Linked DNA regions of Saccharomyces cerevisiae S288C. Changing the gene in region 1 together with any one later gene gives a genetic interaction. Each region holds a gene or a part of one and is shown on either strand. Other genes may lie near its edges.

Region 1 (3,626 bases):
CCAAAGGATTCCGTTGGAATATATTTCCAATCTCCATTTGAAATCGAAGGATAAAAAACTTGATCTTGTAGGACAGCTTGAACATGGTAAGAAGCATTTTTCAATTTATGAAAACGATACTGAATTTACTTTTGAAATCCTACAAATGGTGAATGACTTATTGGACATCGTCGAGAATTTTGGTCGCGAACAATCTATTCAAGAGGGCATAGATAGCGATAATGAAGAGGAAGAGGAACTCATTGATATTGAGTTGGAACCAGAACACCCTGTATATCCCCTACAACAATCGCTAGAAGCGAATTACGAGTGGCTAAGAAACCATTTTGATAAATTGCTTGACAACACAAATACAGATGTGAAAATCTATGCATCAATAGCTAACACCCTAGGGGAACTATACCTAAAAAAAGCTGAAGAACCAAGTAAAGTTTTCTTAAGCCTACAGTACGATGATGGCGGTTCTGAAAAGGTTAGCGACAAGGAAGCCAAGAACGCCCAAGAAACCGCTTTGAAGCACACAAAAAAGGCTTTAGAATACTTGGAAAAGGCTAAACTGGAGGATGATCCGGACACCTGGGTTCAAGTCGCCGAAGCATATATTGACCTAGGTAACCTGCTTGACAATGAAAGTGCTGAACAAGAAGAAGCTTACAAAACCGCCGAAGAAATCTTAGGCAAAGCAAACAAGGCTTCTCATGGTAAATTTCAAGATGTCCTGGACAATTTCTTACAAGGCTGAGCGCATCCACGCTTCTTTTTTATTTTTACTCACTCCTTCTGTTGCCTTAAGTACTCTCAAAAATTACTATTTTTATCTAGTTTTATAGAAAAGCTAAAAGAAAGGCTATATTTATTAGAGCGCGTGTTGAAATATAGTCACAACTTATTTAATGAGTTAAACTTTTGGTTTCCTTTTAGGTTTTTTGGTGCTCAGCCTCGTCATCACCCAATAAAGAGTTTATTATCAATGGCTTCAGTGAAACAAACCAACAAAACTCTCCGAGAGGGCAATCCAGAGCATAGCACAATCTTTTACATCCGCGGAAGCATTCTTGCTCCGTCATATTTCCTTCCGGACTTCGCTCGGACTCTTTTTCCGCGGAAAGATATGGTCTCCGTCGGTCCTCTGTTTCCTATTATATTTGCGCACAGTGACAGTGCGGCAATTGATATGTCAGGGACCACTGGAAAACGACGTTGCCTAGTAGTTGTGGCAGCTCCGATAGTTGACATTCTCATTAGTAACCGAACTTCTTGCACCAAGTCCTGTGCGAGTGCTGCACGGCCATGCCTTGAGGGTTCTGTCGCCCCCTAGCTGTACGTAAGCATCCCCCGTAATTTTTCCGCAAATGTCGAAAAGCTCTTGACTTTTTCTCGCTATCTCGCTCTCTAAAAGGGAATAGGTGTGATTCTGATCGGTTGTACCCACGGAGCTCTAATTTGCCCTGTTTATTTTTCTTTGGTGTGCCTCCCATTTTCACCTAAAACAGTTGAGCTGATGGGCAAAACACTATATAAGGTTTATTATTTGCAGTCGACCCCAGAATCAATAGAAATAAGAAGAGTTTTCCTTGTCGCTTGCACAGTAAAGTATTTTTTTTTTTTCTTTCAGTAGTAGACTTAAAATTCATTACTTTTCTACGTAAACTCTGGTTTCCTAGCAGTTCAAGCAATAGTATACTAAGGGCGTAACTAATTACTGCTGGTTGTTCTAAAATAGATTTCTCACAGTACTTTTTTTCTGATTATAGACGTTGAGAAATTCAAAATGTCCAACGCAACAAATAATACGTTAGGCAGTCTTTTGCCACAGTTAGAAGCAGCAGCTAACAGTAATTCCCTTTATGGTGGTATGGTACCGAACCTTCGTTTTAATATCACGATGATTGTCATTTGGGGTATACTACTGACAATACATGTCGTACAGTTACTGATGCGCCAATACTGGTTTTCAATCGCTTTTATATGCACAGGTATTTTGGAAGTTCTTGGATTTATAGGGAGGACGTGGTCGCATTCTAATGTCGCCGATATGGACGCTTTTCTTTTGAACATGATTTGTTTGACTATTGCACCAGTTTTCACAATGGGTGGTATTTATTATCAACTTGCAAAGCTTATAGAAGTATACGGCCACAGGTTCTCTTTATTGCCCTCTCCAATGGCGTATTCTTTTATTTTCATATGTTCCGATATCGTATCGCTTGTGGTGCAAGCTGTAGGCGGTGGCCTGTGTGGTGTGGCGGTCACAGATGGAACGTCCACAACAACCGGCAATCATGTTTTCATTGCTGGTTTGGCCATTCAAGTTGCATCGATGGCCATCTTTCTTATGTTATGGTTTCACTTCCTTTTCCGTATATATATATCGGTAAGATGGGAACACATAAATTCTAGACCTATCTCATTGAGCCTCTTAAAGATATCGCAAACAGAAGTTGATTATTTATACAGGGAAAAGTTCCATTTTTTGAGACTCGAACCTAAACGTTGGGTTTTTCATTATTTTAATCTGGCAATAACCGTTGCGGTACTAACCATTTTTACCCGTTGTTGTTACCGTTTGGCTGAATTAGTTGTCGGTTGGGATGGCTATCTGATCACACACGAGTGGTATTTTATTATCTTAGATGCATTAATGATGGCCATCGCTACGGTCACTTTGACCATCTTCCACCCTGGATTTGCGTTTAAAGGTAGAAGCACCTCGATTCCAATCACACCGGGCCATGTTGATCCTGAAACTTTACCACATACTGACGATGTTGAAGATATCTTAGATACTTCGGATTCAAAACAATTTGATATTGAAAAGGAGGAATTCCAAGCAAGCATGAAATACCCGATTAGCACCTTCAAACAATTCATGTCCAAAATAGCTAACTTGTTTTCCTCTAAAAAGAAGGCTAAACTTTAGTGATACGTAGAATTTGAATGTCAATCTGATCGTTCATATGCATTTTTCAATTCTTACTTTTTTTCTCGAAGTTCCCGACTATGTTCTGTTTATTTTTTCTCCTATTCAAAAGAACCGGACAGCATTTTTACTTCCTTATATTTCGACATCGTAATATGTACATTTTTTAGTTCACAAGTATTTTTCCCCTTTCAATGCTTTAATCAGCCTTCAACGTCATACATACTTTCTATTTTGTTCCTGTGCCATCGTATAACTTTCCTCGTTTAGTGTTTTCGCCTCAGCTTAATGTAGATCACTGTTTTGACGTTCTTCCATTTTTGGGAACGAACTAAACTAAAAAAAAGAAAACTACAGAGTTTCCCATAGAGAACAGAAAATCCGCTATCGGCAGCTTATAGGGTCATATAATTATGGCGCACATAAGGAAAATAAATTTATTTGAATCAATCAACAGACCTATCTGTTGATATATGAAAGAGAGCAGGAGCGTTAGTTTACCTCCATAAACAGTAAAATTAAAGCAAAAAAGCGTAACTGCTGATTGAAGCCTATATCACCGGGCTAAAATCTTATATCGGTTAAGAAAGTGATTAATTTATAGATATGTTCACGAAATCTTTTCTATTCAAAGATTCACGAATTTTACTCGATTTTTATAGTATACTGAAACAAGTAGTTGTAAAATCAATTCACCAAAAAAGCT
Region 2 (3,332 bases), on another chromosome or scaffold:
AGAATTGTGTAGAATTGCAGATTCCCTTTTATGGATTCCTAAATCCTCGAGGAGAACTTCTAGTATATTCTGTATACCTAATATTATAGCCTTTATCAACAATGGAATCCCAACAATTATCTAATTACCCACATATATCTCACCTTCAGCATCTTTTTCCCCATTTTTTTACTTGTAGTATAGATTGTTGTTTACGTGCACGATTAGCTTCTTCAAACCAGGAAACAGCAATGTATACATTGGCAACTTGGCCGAGTGGTTAAGGCGAAAGATTAGAAATCTTTTGGGCTTTGCCCGCGCAGGTTCGAGTCCTGCAGTTGTCGTTATTTTTGAGTTTTCCGATGTCTATTTTGTGATAATAGTATTAGAAGCAGTACGTGAAATAGTGCTAATACTATCTGTTATTCTTTTTGAATAGAATATGATTATATGAATTAAATACAATTTCAACAAATAGGTTTAGAAGGTGCATTAATATGGAATTTTTTCAATTTTTGTTCACATTCTTTTTCATTTACATAAATGAAGTCCGAAATCCGTTGTTGGCTTTTGAAATTTCAAAGCGTTAGTGATTTGGCCCAGAAAATATAAATATAGCAAAAACATCTAGATACAAGATTGAAATAAACTATGTTCAACTAATTTGGGCGCGACCTGTGATACCTGGGATAGAAATCCTTAATCTATGAGTAACAGGTAACTTTGGGACAACAGCACCAAAGGTTGTCAAAAAACAATTCCATGAAAACAATTTCAAATCATAGTGAGCATAATGAGTACTAACTAAGAATAGGGCGATCGGGACACTAATCAAAAATTTTCTTGAAGGAGTATATAAAGTCTCGTCGTCAATTTGTTCCCACATCGTCAAGTTGTCATAAGCACCACCATTGAAATCGAAAGGGGTACCCTTAATCAGATGGAACATGACATAGGACCCAATAACATATGTCATATTAGTCAGAGTCCACGACCATTCTGTGGTAACACCAGGAAATAAATTATAAAATAGTTTCAGCAGTATGATAATGACCACATGAATAATCCAAGCGCCGCGTTGGTCTACCCAAGTAGCATTCATATTTGGTAGAAGTTGCTGGTCATTTTCATCTTCAAAAGTCTCCGGTTCCACATGTGAAATTATGCTGGAAGAACGCCTTCTTCTATGATCTTTCACAGGTTCCGTCGTTTTAATTGATGAAGATGCACTGCCTGCAGAAGGAAACGGCTTAAGGTCCGTTTGATTTCGACTATACGAGGTAGAAGCCGCCTCAGCAGTTCCTTGATAATCTAATTCGGTCATTAACTAAATGGATAAAAATGCAATGAAATACAAAATAAGAATAACTCTGCTTTTTAGAGAATATGTGGTAAACAACAAAAGGTAGTTAGGGAAATTCAAAAAGGGAATATCAAGCAAAGGAAGATGTTATCGATCAGTGAATTTTTCTTGTTTCGTGAATCCACTGAAATATCTGCATCTGAAGGCGAGATCTCATGATAGTTTTCTAAGGTCTTAAAGTGAAAACATAGGCATTTCACTATACCCGATAGTTGTCGGGTAACGGCTTTGAGTCTACGATGGTTTATATACCGCAGCTCCGTTAGCAAAGGAATAGAGGAAACTCGAAACAGGTAGTCTAGCAATTTGTGTAGGGACTAAACATATTTCGACTATTCTCTATAATCCGTTCCTAAACTACATGCCACAAACTCTCGTATTGAAACATTCCATTAAAAAATGACCGTCGGAAGAGATTACGGCCTTGGTGCCTGAAGACAGGTGGCGCTGGCGGCCCTACGCGCTCTCTGACACGTCCGCAAACTCAACAGCTCCAGGCCAACTCCCCAATGACCGCCATATATATAGCTAGCTTGGATCAATTGGTCTGTCTCGGAAGCAAGTACGTTATGTACATCATTTCACTGTGTGAAGCAAAAGAAGGAAGACTAAAACTCTAAAATTAGTTAAACTAGTGTTTTCAGCAAAATGGTTTCCCAATTATTCGAAGAAAAAGCTAAAGCCGTCAACGAGCTACCAACGAAGCCCTCCACTGATGAATTATTAGAATTGTATGCTCTGTACAAGCAAGCCACTGTAGGTGACAACGACAAGGAAAAGCCTGGTATTTTCAACATGAAGGACCGCTACAAGTGGGAAGCCTGGGAAAACTTAAAAGGTAAATCCCAGGAAGATGCCGAAAAGGAATACATTGCCCTTGTTGATCAACTGATTGCCAAGTACTCCTCTTAGAAAAGGGGTATACTAGCTCCATGTAAGGAGTTTTGGCCTAGCTTTCCTTGTTACTATTCTATTATTATATTTTATTGGCTGCAAAAACGTGACTTATGTACATTTATAAATGCCCATATCCCTTACTACTCTCCCTGGGGACAAGGCGTAATAACTGTTAATAAATGCATATACTCTGTTCTATTTAAATTCTCGGGGTTCGCTGGAATATTGAATCACAATTAGGGAGATTCGCATGTAATTTACGCCGAGAATGATACTGATTTGTGTTGAATATGACAAGGTTTAGCGGAAACACGCTCTTGAAATTTTTAAAGATATTTTCATGATTTATATACAGACTGATCTGTATACATTTTTATATTGTCATACATAGGCTTTAATAACTACTCAGTTTTTTTTGATGGCGGCAGAAGCAGCGCTTTCATTGCTCTACACAAATCCGCAATTCAAGTGACAGACGCCAAACTAGTGGTACAGTACACTTACTGAAGCGCACCATGTATACCCTGATCTACATCTAGAGCTTGTTCAGTTTTTCTTTATGCTTTTAATTACGCCAGGAAGAAAACCGTTCTTACGTGGTGGATGAAATAGGAGAATTCGGGTTTCTGGGAAAACTTAAAATTTCTTGTTGGAAAAGTAGAAAGAAAAAGAAAAGTTTGCCTTCTGAGAAAATGCTACATATGGTAGAGACATCAATCGATTGCTCAACACGCGTTAAAAAGGGGAAAGTGATTGCCACTGTGATCACTTTAAATCATTTCTTCGTTCTCATTCTTTTCGTCTAATTTTCTTCTCTACCACTCATTATACCAGGCATTTTATCTACATCAAAATTTGTTTTGAATCGGATCATATCATGAATAGTACCGCCGCTGCAATAAATCCAAATCCAAATGTTATACCATTCGATGACACATACATTCTCTATGATTCGCATGACTTTCTATCATTCCTTAGTGCATATTTCTCGCTGATGCCCATCCTAGTGCTAGCTTTTTATTTGTCGTGGTTTATCATCACAAGAGAGTTAGAAGCCTGCATTGTAGCCTTTGGCCAATTGATGAACGAAATA

The links.
Region 2: of RSB1 (region 1) and ORM1, extra expression of one rescues a mutant of the other (dosage rescue), as found in Saccharomyces cerevisiae (one study listed by BioGRID).

Annotation. Positions count from the first base shown.
Region 1 is NC_001147.6:421,962-425,587, reverse strand, and holds RSB1 (phospholipid-translocating ATPase RSB1), read left to right. Parts: upstream 1-1,855; coding exon 1,856-2,920; downstream 2,921-3,626. Other genes in the region: ETT1 (Ett1p), read left to right, coding at 1-742. UniProt on the Saccharomyces cerevisiae protein: Catalyzes the ATP-dependent translocation of sphingoid long-chain bases (LCBs) from the cytoplasmic site toward the extracytoplasmic side of the membrane (flip-flop). Involved in the establishment of the functional lipid asymmetry of the plasma membrane.
Region 2 is NC_001139.9:558,653-561,984, reverse strand, and holds ORM1 (sphingolipid homeostasis protein ORM1), read right to left. Parts: upstream 1,304-3,332; coding exon 635-1,303; downstream 1-634. Other genes in the region: long-chain fatty acid transporter ACB1, read left to right, coding at 1,991-2,254; CAX4 (dolichyldiphosphatase), read left to right, coding at 3,117-3,332. UniProt on the Saccharomyces cerevisiae protein: Component of the SPOTS complex that acts as a negative regulator of sphingolipid synthesis. Acts by inhibiting serine palmitoyltransferases (LCB1 and LCB2) activity.